Linked DNA regions of Diceros bicornis minor. The main gene of each other region encodes a partner of the protein of the gene in region 3 in a complex. Links are inferred from orthologs where the notes say so. Each region holds a gene or a part of one and is shown on either strand. Other genes may lie near its edges.

Region 1 (3,743 bases), on a different chromosome or scaffold from region 3:
TAGCAACTTTCAAATATACAATACAGTACTGAAGTTTTTTTCCTAAACATTTTATACTTTTATATTTTACATTTAAGTTTATGATCCATTTTGAGTGAATTTTTGTTTAAGGTAGGAGGTTTAGGAGGAGGTTCTCTTTTTTTGGCCTATAGATGTCCAACTGCTCCAGCACCATTTGTTGAAAAGACTTCTGATTCCACTTTTGTACCTTATTCCATCCATTCCTCATACAGCAGTCAGAATGACTTTTTTTTTTTTTTTTTTGTGAGGAGATCAGCCCTGTGCTAACATCCGCCAATCCTCCTCTTTTTTTGCTGAGGAAGACGGCCCTGGGCTAACATCTGTGCCCATCTTCCTCCACTTTATATGGGACGCCGCCACAGCATGGCTTGCCAAGCAGTGCGTTGGTGCGCGCCCGGGATCCGAACCAGCGAACCCCGGGCCGCCGCAGCGGAGCGCGCGCACTTAACCGCTTGCGCCACCGGGCCGGCCCCCAGAATGACTTTTTTAAATGTGTATCAGAGGATGTCATGCCCTGTTCAAAACCCTCCAGTGGCTTCCCACCCCAACATAATCCGGCCCCTCTGCAACCGCATTTTCTGCCACCCCTTGCCCCTGTAATTCTCGGCCTCAGACAACCAGCGGACTTGCTCCCTCACTTCATGCTGGTCTGTTCTATTGTCACTTCGTCAGAGATTTCCCAGCCAATCTTGCAAAGTAGTTTACTCCTTCAATCTTTCCCCCTTGCCTTGCTTTTTTTTAGCAGCATCTACATAATGCACTACATTACGTATTGATTTGCTCGTTTGTTTATTGTTTGCCCCCATTCCCAACCCCACCAGATGCCACAGAAGAGTTTACTGCTATAGCCCCAGACCCTGGACTACGGCCTGGCACCGAGTAAGTACTCAATTAAGAACTCATTGCTTGACAGGCTGGAAAGAATGAGGACACGTCAAGCGAGAGCGACTTGTCTCCTTTCAGGTCAGGCGCTCGCGAGCGCCACCTCTCGGGAAGCCAATTTGCTGGAGAACGAAGGAAGTGAGTCACAGAATCTTAAAAAACAGGGAGCTTGCCGGAAGAGCATGCAAGACCAGGGCCGGAAGTTAAACATGGGGCAGTTGCTCCCTAGAATGACAGCCGGCTCACAGGAGGAAGCGCGGGCGAGTGGTGTTTTGCAAAAGGCGCTCTCCGGCAGCCGATCTGGGCAGAGGCGTTCCGCGCGTCCGGCTGCCGGCAACCACGTGGGGCCGGGCAGGTTTCCGGTGCCGGGGGCAGCAGGCGGAGGTGAATCCCGAGCAGCTGGAGGGGTGAGAGGGGATCGGGTTCTGAGAGGAGAGGGAGAGGAGTGGGGTCGGGGGAGGGGGAAGTGGAGAGGTCGGGTGAGTTCTGCTCCGAGAGGTGGGAGGGGATCGGATGGGAGGGCAGGGCGGGAGCGCCTGCGGCAGGTGCCAGCCTGTCAGCGCACGTCCCGCGCCACGTGGACTCGCCTTTGTCCTGGCTGCCTTTCCCATCAGGCCGCAAGGACAGGAGTGGTGCCTTATTTGTCTCTGTCCTCTGCAGTGCTGGGCACGGAGGTGGTGCTCAGTAAGTGCTTGCAGAATGAATGACAGATGTGTGTGCCGGCGTGGGTGTGGAGGGACGTTGATAGGGACAATTTCTGGCTCCTAGCCCCGTTTCCTCCTGGGGAATCCATGCTGTTTCCAGCTTCCATCGGGAGTTCTCCGCCACTCCTGGGGCTTTGCCTCTTTTTCTTCGAGGGGCAGGGTCAAGATCATTGAAGACTTTTTTTTTGCTCTTATTGAGTGCTAGGCCCTGTGGCTTGGTACCAGGGACAGAGAGAGGAGTAAACCATCCCTGTTCAGTAGTCTCCCCTTAACCACGGATTCGCTTTCCGAGGTTTCAGTGACCCGCGGTCAACCTCCGTCTGAAAATATTACATGGAAAATTCCAGAAATAGACAATTCATAAGATTTAAATTGCCCGCCCTTCTAAGTAGCGTGGTGAAATCTCGCGCTGTCCTGCCGCGATGTGAATCCTCCTTTTGTCCAGCGGACCCACGCTGTAATATGCTACCCGCATTAGTCACTTAGTGGCCCTCTCGGTTATCAGATCGACTGAGGCGGCATCGGGTGCTTGAGTTCAAGTAACACTTATTTTACTTAATGATGGCCCCAAAGCGCAAGAATAGCGGCGTTGGCAATTCGAATGCGCCAAAGAGAAGCCGAAAAGTGCTTCCTTTAAGTGAAAAGGTGAAAGTTCTGGACTTAATAAGGAAAGAAAAAAAATCGTATGCCGAGGTTGCTAAGATCTACGGTAAGAACGAATCTTCCATCCGTGAAATCGTGAAGAAGGAAAAAGAAATTCGGGCTAGTTTTGCTGTCGCACCTCAAACTGCAAAAGTGACGGCCACAGTGCGTGGGAAATGCTTAGTTAAGATGGAAAAGGCTTTAAGTTTGTGGGTGGAAGACATGAACAGGAAATGTGTTCCGCTGGATGGCAACATGTTGCGCCAGAAAGCGTTGAGCCTGTACGAAGACTTCAGCAAGGGATCCCCTGAAACAAGTGAGAACAAGACATTTACTGCGAGTAAGGGATGGTTACACAGATTCAGGACTAGGTTTGGACTGAGAAATATAAAAATTACTGGAGAGGCTGCGCCTGCTGATGAAGAAGCCGCTGCCACGCTTCCGGCAGAGTTGAAGAAGCTGATTAAGCAGCAAGGATACCAGCCCAAGCAAGTCTTCAATTGCGATGAAACCCGGCTCTTCTGTGCAGTACAGTACGATAAGATATTTAGAGCGACAGACCACGTTCACATAACTTTTACTGCAGTATATTGTTATAATTGTTCTATTTTCTTATTAGTTATGGTTGTTAATCTCTTAGTGTGCCTAACTTATCAAACTTTAGCGTAAGTATGTATACATAGGACAAAGCATAGTATACATAGGCATACCTCGTTTTATTGCACTTTGTTTTATTTATGTGTTTTTTACAAGACCCTCCACCAGCAAAAAGATTACGACTCACCGGAGGCTCAGATGATGGTTAGCATCTTTTGGCCATAAAGTATTTTTTTGATTGAGGTGTATACATTGCTTTTTTAGACATAATGCTATTGCACACTTAATAGACTACAGTATAGTGTAAACATAACTTTTATATGCGTTAGGAAACCAAAAAATTCCCGTGGCTCGCTTTATTGCAATTTTTGCTTTGTTGCCGTGGTCTGGGACTGAAGCTGCAGTATCTTGGAGGTATGCCTGTATATTGTTTGGTACTATCCTCGGTTTCAGGCATCCATTGGGGGTCTCGGAACATATCTCCCGCAGATAAGGGGAGGCTACCTGCATACAGGCTGTAGACCAGTGGGGAGACAGACACACAAACACAACATTCAAATATATTAAGGTGCTATAATAAGAGGTTAACAACTGAAGTCCAGGATGGTGGAGCCAGGAGGTGGTGCTGCTCTCCACATTAGGGACTGTCTTTCAAGGTGAGGGCCTCCTTTCTCATCTGGTGGAGACAGAGCAGGTCGTGAACCCAGTCTTCTTTGTAAAAGGAAAGGTCTGGAATAGACGGTCTCTAGATTTCCTTCCACCATGATGTTCTAGATCAGATATTATTGACGGCTCTAGTTCACAATCCTCCATTTATTAGTCAGATTATTCATTACATCTTATGATGTGGCGTAAATTGCATAGGGCTTTTGGTCCATGCAAAATTGGAAATAGGGA
Region 2 (3,743 bases), on a different chromosome or scaffold from region 3:
TACTTTTAGCCAAATATTTTGCCTGTTTTCTGTTTCAAAATGTGTGTGATAGTTGCCGTGAGGCTGACACCCCTGGGTCCTGGAGGGAAACTGGGCCACAGAGGAGAGGCACCATCTGACCTCTGATAGTTCCTGCTTCCCCTGACACCAGCCTCACAGAATATCCAGCTCCTGTACACTAGTCGACACTTTGTCCTGGCAGCGGGGACACCTGGGCCAACAGGCCGTCTGGACCAAAGGTGGAGGGGGGCCCTGGGTGGCTGCTCTGGCCCAGACATGAATACCTCGGTGTTCCCTGTTCCTCTGTTAATGTCTCACCAGATCTGTCTTAGCCTTGTACTTGTTCACGTATTTTTGAGAGTCTAGGGTCTGCACCCTTGTTTATAATAAATGCAAACATTTGGAGCTGCTGCCCCCTTTCTTCAGAGCCTTGGCTGCTGGGATTCGGCATTAGGCTAGGTACCAACGCTTGGATTTCCATGTTTTCCCTACTTTTATTGGGCTCAGACATCTGACCATCCTGCTAGGGTGGGTGAGGGACAAAGACTGTGCCACTCTCTAGGCCCCCTCCCTAGGTCCCTGAATGTGGGCAGAGGTGCAGGAGGCTCTCAGGCTGCCAAGGAGGGTTAGAGGCGAGTGACCACTCAGTGCTGTGGGGGCTTTATTAGTCAGACTCTCCTTCTTGGCCTACTGCCCAGGTGTGGCCAGAGACAGCCCATACAGTGTGGCTACTGCCAAGGTCAGGAAGGCCAGCAGGCCCAGTGGGGCCAGCAGTCCCTCCCTGGGTGGGGCTCCAGGGCTCTGCATTGGAGGAAGGGCCTTGGGCCTCCTGCCCACCTCAAGGTTGGGACTGGTGTCCTTGGCTCTGGCCAGGGGTACAGTGGCTATGGCAGCAGATGGCCTTGGGTTGGCTCCAGTAGAGGCTGTGACCCCGTACATTGGCTTGACGGTGCTGAAGGGCCTGGCGTGAGCATCCACCCACTGCAGAAGGGCCCGCGGCCTCCACTGACAGATGCTGAGCAGAGCTAGGACGTCACCCTCGGCCGTGTGCGAGTCTGGGGGGGCCTGCCCATACAGGCGTGTGTAGATGCTGCCCAGGCTGTAGCTTTTCCTTGGGCCATGCTCCGAGGGGCTGCCAGCTCGCTCCAGGGCCTTCAGGGCAGCAATGCTATCCACACAGAAGGCGCCGTCCAGAGCACTGGCAAGGCCCAGCACAGCGAACTCTGCCTGGAGCAGGGGGAAGTCGTAGCGGTCACCGTTGTGTGCCACGAGGCACCAGGGCTGTGGCTGGCGCTGCAGGAAGGCTCGGAGCAGGTTGCCCAGGTTGGCATCGAAGCGTTGACGCCCATGCGCTGCCAGCATAGCTGTGCTCAGGCCTGTGATCTCGCTGGCTGCGGGGCTACAGGCCTTCCCTGGAGCCACGCACAGGGAGAGCTTGTCCACCACTCGGGGTGGTGGGGGAACTGTGGAAGGAGGCCCCTGAGGGGTGGGAGGGCTCTCCAGGGCACATCTGTGGATGGCCAGCAGGCACAGCTCCGTGACCTTGGGCTGGGAGAATGGCAGGCCAGTGGCTTCCAGGTCCAAGAAGATGAGGGTCTGCACAGGACCCGGGAGCAGGGCCTGCGAGCCCATGGTGGGTACCTGCCGCTGAGCCTGGGAAAGAGCATGGGGTGGGGAGTGGGCATGTGAGTGCCCCAGTGATAAAATCCAAGGCAGGTGGGGGTGGCGTGGGCCTCCCCTGCACAGGCAGGCACTGTTGGTGAACTCCAGGACCCATTTTCAGGACAGGAAGCCAGAGAGGGTGGTGGCTTCCTTAGTGGCATCAGCACACTCAGCTGTCTGTCTGGGAAGGTTTGGCTCCTCCCCTAATGCCCACTTAGTCTGGCGGGGTTCAGGGTGGGGATAAGGGAACCTACCCTATCCCCTTGGGGGTCCTCACTTACCGAGTAGCAGGCAGGCAGCAATGACTCGGGGCGCACACTTTCTGGCTGATTCTTGCTGCTGGCAGCAGTGGCGGGAAGTGAAACTCAGCCTGAGCCCGCCCACGGCCTGGCGTGAGCAAAGCCCGCCCTGCTGTCAGTCTGCCTGGTCTGCCCCTCTCTTGCCAACACCCCTCCTTCCCCAGCACCCCTCTGCTCACAGTGACTCCTCAAAGGCCTTCTCAGATCTATAGCTGTGTGCCTGCTGGCAGGCACAACGCACCAGAGCCCTCACGCCCTCACACCAGTGAGTGAGCCAGCTGGGAGGACAAGGGCAGTGGTGCCTAGGCTATTAGGGAAGGCTAGCTCCAGGATTCAAGGCTGCCAGGAGCCCCTGCCGTGGCCATTTTGCGCCCACCCCTTGGCCCCACTTTCCCAGGCCTCCCTGGTTTAGGCCTGGGCTGAGGGCTGCCTCCTTCCTTGTCACACAATGGTTTCTTCCCATGGCCTCAGCCCAAAGCGATGACTCAGGGCAATTCCACAGGGAGGGCAGGGCTTCTTCCTCAAAGCAGATTTGTTACCATGGGGACCGAATCTCAGCTCCAGCCAGGGACAGGAAGAAAGATCCCAGCCTTCCCTGGGTCCCGCTCCTGCTTCATCCCTCCCACTCAGTCAACACAGATCAGACTCAGGAAACAAGGCTGGCCTGTTCTCAAACAGCCGGTCACTGCTTTTAATCAGTTGACAAGGTGAGGAGAGTAGTGGTGCTGGTGCCACCATGTGGCTCGATGCTCACAGGCCTCAACCACAGTCCATCTCGGGATCATCCACATCGGGCTCAGCGGCACAGAGGTCATCCAGGGCGGCCTCTGAGCCAAAAAAGAAGAGCGTCCTCTGGTGAAGGCCTGAAGGTGCTGGGGACTGGGGGAGGTCCCACCTTTCCTCCCCCCACGCCCAGAGGAACTAACCAGTCCCTTCCACGCCCAGGCCTTGCTCCCTCAGCTACTGCAAGCAAAATGATACAAAGGCAATTCAGACAGGGATGTTTCTGGAAAAACCCTGGCTCTGCCAGGCCAGCTCAACAGATGTGAGCAAAAGGCAGCCTAATATGCACAGAGAAGAACCAGAGCAGGAAGATAAGAATGACCCCAGTGCTGGCCAAGGCTGTGGTGGATGGAGGACTGTGACGTAGGCCGGGAAGTCTGACTTGGCCACGAACTTGAGGGAAAACCCCACCTGGGGCTGAGGTAGGGAGGGGTCCTCCTGCCGGCTCACCTTCACAGTCTGTCACGTCAGGAAGCCCTCGAATCAGCGTGCTGACCCCTGGCATCACCTGGTCATACTGATGCAGGACCTCCACACAGTGCACACTAAAGAGCTTGTCCTTCTGGGACAGGCTGTGCAGCAGCAGCACCGTGTCCCGCAGACACCGCACTGTCCGCTTCTGCTGGTCAGTCCTTGGGGGCCCCCCTGCCCTCCGCACTGTCAGCCACTGTCTGTGCAGCATCACCGTGAGCGCTCTCACCACCTGGGGGAGGGCACAGACTGAGGTCAGGTCTCACAGTTCCTGCACCCTAACACCTTGCTCAGCTGGGCAGCATCTTTCCTAGCCACCCCAGGTGAGGAGGGTTCTGAGTGGTGGCACCAGGGTTAGAAGGAGCATGGGGTCCTTGCACAGGTCCTTGCACCTTACCCACCAAGAGAGCTGCCACGCTCTCGGCCCTGCCTGCCCCTGGGCACTTACCTCCACGTTGCACTGGCAGTTGGAGCCAGTGACCGGGGAGGAGGGGCTCTGCACACCAAGCTTAGCCAGGAGCCACACAG
Region 3 (3,743 bases):
CCCCCTCCTCCCCAAATGCGCAGAAAGTGCCCCCTCCACCCCCACCGCGCCCCACCCCGCCTCAAGGCAGGGGGCAGGCGTGTGGGCAGAGACACTCGGGAGGCGAGGGGGCGAAGCGTGAGAATCGCTCCCAGTTCGGCGCGGCGCGCTCCCCTCCCCCAGCACACACTCGGGGAAGTTTAAAGAGCCGGTTCGACCCGCTTTCGATCTCACTCCCAGTTGGCCAGCAGTGTGGATAGGGTTGGCCGGGCGAACCGCGCCTCCACACCCACCCGCCGCGACCCGGGCCCCCAACTTGGCGCCCTTCCCCCTCCGAACAGGGGGCTTCCGGAAAGTACGCGGGAAGACCACGGCTCCGGCCCCTTCCCCCATCACCACACCCAGCCCCCAAATCCGCCGGCTCGCGGTCCAAGCTGGGATGAAACCGGCCAGAGAAAGGCAAACCACCGGCAAACTGTTCGCGGAAACTCCTGCCTCCTCCGACGGGCACCCCCTCCCCTCCCTCCGCCACCCCCCTCCCCGCCCTGCGCGCCATAAGGCACGGCACGTCTACAGTCCACAGCTGCGTTATGATGGGGGGGGGCACAAAAACGATCTTGTTTTCAAAAGTCTCACTCAGGTTTGGGGGAGGAACTAGAGAAAAGAGGAAGCAAGGCCTGCCTTCGCCAGGGGTTCGGGTTTTAACGGGCTGGAGGGGCGATAGGTCAGCGCACAGTGCTACCCAAACTCCCAACTCTGTGGAACCCTGGCCACCGAGGCGCGGGGGGGTCCTCCGGCCTGCGCTCCCCTGGTCCCCCGAGGGGCCACGAGGGGAGTCGGCCAGCGTCTCCGCCCCAGACCCGGGGTCCCCGACGCTGAGCCGCCAACTCACATAAAACACTGTCTGAAAGCGAGAGGGAGACAGAAAAAGGAGCGTTGAGTAACCCACCTTCACCTTCCCCTCCTTGGGGGTGGGCTTTCGCCCGAGCCTCCCAGTTCCCATCCGCGCAAGTTTCCTCTGGCCGTACTCCCGCCGCTGCCCAATCAATAACGGCGACCAGAAGGCAAACTCCCATCCCGGAGCTGCGTGTTTGCTGTGCCCGCATAAATCTGGACCCAGCCAATACCCACCACGGGCACCAGCTCTGGGCAGCTCGCGTCCTGACAAAGTTTCCCGTGCCCATTTATTAACCAGGCGCCGAATGGCTGCCGAGGAGCCCACCCTAGAGAAAGACGGGCCGGGGTTCCCGGCGGGGGGCTTGAGCCAGGGCTCAAGGCTGGCATCTGAGGGAGCCCGGAAGGAGCAGGGGCGAGGGGGACCGGGACGTCGCCTTTGGGTAACTTGCAGTAGCGATCGCCCGAGGTGCGGAGGCGCGGGGATTATCTGTGGCTTCGAACGTTCGAAAATCCCTCCCCCCTTCTTCCAATTTATCCTCCCTTCTGAAGAAAAGGAAGAAACATCAGCATCTGGCCCGAAGGTGGGGTGGAAAGAGTGAGGGAGAAAGAGGAGGAGAGGAAGGGAGGCAGAGAAAGGGAGGGAGGGAGAGAAAGGGCGCGTTCACGAACACTACAAAGTTACAAATATGGCTCCCCCGTCTCTCGCCTCATCACTGCAAAGAAATGAAGACGCACTTTAAACTCGAGCCATTCCCAACTCCACTGCAGCCCCCTCCCCACGCGCTCTCCCCCGGGGCCTCGGCCCACATTTATCAGAAACTAAACCGGACTCGCGAAGCCCAAAACTTATTGTGTGTGTGCGAGCGGAGAGAGAGAGAAAGGGAGGGGGAAGGAGCGGGAGGGGGCGGAAGGGGGGATTCATTTATAAAATATAAACCCCCTTTTTTTTGTTGTTAAATCCAGGAGGCAGCCCCTCTCCTCCTCCTCCCCTCGTTAATCTTTCCCCCAGACGGAGTCACGGGAGCAGCGAGCTCAGAGGGTTATTTTGCCTCCTTCTCTCCGACCCAAACGCGTGCGCCCGCTGGCCCCCGATGGGTGCACACTCGCACGCACACTCTCGCACCCACATTCACACACGCGGGAGCACACGCACAGGTAGTCACACACCAAGGGCAGCGGCGGCGGCAGCCGGAACATGCTCGGATGGCATTGCAACCCCCCAACCTTGCAATTCATTTGCAGTCCGACCCCCAAACCCACACCTCCCGGGCGCCCCCCCTCAAAAAAAAGTGCCTCCCCCCAACGCGCGCACACACACACAAAGTAGGAGAATGGACCGACAGAGATATTTTTGGCAAATGCTCACATCAGAGGGCGTCCTGTTCCGCAGCTCTAAATGAATCCGTTTGTCCATGTCCATCTCTCGCGCTCTCTCTCTGCAGAGGCTCCCGCGCCGGCGGAATTCAATCAATAAACCCCGAACCCACGGCCGCGCGTTTTAGGACTTTGAAGGCTCAACCAGATCCGCTCGGTTCTCGAGCCCCCAGCACCCGCGGCGCACACTAACCTGATCACCGTGGAGGCGGGATCTGCGGCCCCGCAGATGAGCGGCAGCAGCCTGAGCCAATCGCCGCCGAGGGTCTCCGGGCAACAGCCAATGGTGGCGGCGGCGGGGGGGAAGGGACCAATGGGCGGACTGCGCAGCCGGCCAGGGAGGCTCAGCCATTTGGTTGTGCTGCCGGGGACGGACCCCTTTAGATTTCGGGGCAGCTGAGGAGCGCGGCGGCTGCTCGGTGGCTGAGCGAGGGGGGTGGGCGGAATGGCGGGGGAAGGGACGGTGACTGTGCCTCGACGGCCGAGCCGCCTGGCCTCACCAGCCCGCCACCGCCTCAGCGTTTGGCCGGGGGCGGGGCCGCAGGTGCGTTATACGAGGGGGAGGGGCGCGGCCGGAGGGGTCGGGTCGGGGTCTCCGCTGGGCCGCCCCGGGCCTGCCCGCGCCGCACCACGGGGTTGCGGAGAGAGGCGGGCGGCGTGAGGTCTGGGGGCCGAGCGTTGCTCGGCGGGCGGGCGGATGAAAGGTCTGGAAGGAGGGGGAGGGGTCAAGGGTGCATTGGGGGAGGGGCTGGTCATTTTCTGGGTCCGGCGGGCTGAGCTGGTGGAGCGTGGCTGCTGCCCCCCACTTCCTCCGCGGGCTCCCACCCCTGGGCTGCGGTTCCCAGCCCGCGCGCCCCTTCGCCTGCCGCCTCGTCTTAGTCCAGCCGCAGCCGTCGCCGCCCCTCGAATAAATAAGTAAATAAAAGCGAGATGCGTCCACCTTTGGATGACTTACCTCGCGGTCTCGACTGTCTCCACGGAGGGGCATTTCAATTTGCTGTGATATAAGGTCAGCTTGGAAGGAGTGATCACCAAGAGGCACCCAGGATCTCGTTTAGTCAACAAATGAATGGAGACCATGCATTAAGAATTGTTGCTGAATATATTGAATATTAAAAAGTGGAAAAGGAAGGTGCTAATAACTCCTGGTTTTCTGGACCAAACGTAATTTATGGGCTTTATAGACCTAGTGAAAGAAAACGGCGCACAGTTGACGCTCATCGTCCACCTGAGTCATTTGGTTCAATTTGGGTTGCCAGAGAGGCTCTATTTGGAGCACTTTCTCCAGGTTTTACGGTTTGCTTGCTTTGGGTTTGTTTGAATCACATTAGTTGTGAGAGACCTTAAAGCCTTAATTCCCGCTGGTTACCAACTTCTTATGGCCAGGCCTAGGACCTTGTGTACTAAGTTAGCTGCCTATTGCTGTTAATAAATCATGAGGATTGTCGTCAACAAGGACAAATACATTTTTACCCTTCCACAACTGTTTTTTA

What was found.
Region 1: ANP32A (region 3) and nucleoside diphosphate kinase A 1 share a complex: the UniProt entries of both Homo sapiens proteins name them as parts of the SET complex. The link is inferred for Diceros bicornis minor from reciprocal best matches to the Homo sapiens genes ANP32A and NME1.
Region 2: ANP32A (region 3) and TREX1 share a complex: the UniProt entries of both Homo sapiens proteins name them as parts of the SET complex. The link is inferred for Diceros bicornis minor from reciprocal best matches to the Homo sapiens genes ANP32A and TREX1.

What each region holds. Positions count from the first base shown.
Region 1 is NC_080757.1:35,294,267-35,298,009, reverse strand, and holds the start of nucleoside diphosphate kinase A 1, read left to right. Parts: upstream 1-1,213; 5' UTR 1,214-1,310; intron 1,311-1,516; exon of another isoform or gene 1,517-1,587; intron 1,588-3,743. UniProt on the Homo sapiens protein: Major role in the synthesis of nucleoside triphosphates other than ATP. The ATP gamma phosphate is transferred to the NDP beta phosphate via a ping-pong mechanism, using a phosphorylated active-site intermediate.
Region 2 is NC_080741.1:49,818,230-49,821,972, reverse strand, and holds the start of TREX1 (three-prime repair exonuclease 1), read right to left. Parts: upstream 2,559-3,743; 5' UTR 1,944-2,558; intron 1,654-1,943; 5' UTR 1,633-1,653; coding exon 688-1,632; 3' UTR 1-687. Other genes in the region: ATRIP (ATR-interacting protein), read right to left, coding at 2,721-2,788, 3,195-3,447, 3,664-3,743. UniProt on the Homo sapiens protein: Major cellular 3'-to-5' DNA exonuclease which digests single-stranded DNA (ssDNA) and double-stranded DNA (dsDNA) with mismatched 3' termini. Prevents cell-intrinsic initiation of autoimmunity.
Region 3 is NC_080744.1:62,645,394-62,649,136, forward strand, and holds the start of ANP32A (acidic leucine-rich nuclear phosphoprotein 32 family member A), read right to left. Parts: upstream 2,742-3,743; 5' UTR 2,603-2,741; coding exon 2,444-2,602; intron 2,429-2,443; exon of another isoform or gene 2,297-2,428; coding exon of another isoform or gene 2,243-2,296; intron 1,351-2,242; exon of another isoform or gene 1,264-1,350; coding exon of another isoform or gene 1,111-1,263; intron 1-1,110. UniProt on the Homo sapiens protein: Multifunctional protein that is involved in the regulation of many processes including tumor suppression, apoptosis, cell cycle progression or transcription. Promotes apoptosis by favouring the activation of caspase-9/CASP9 and allowing apoptosome formation.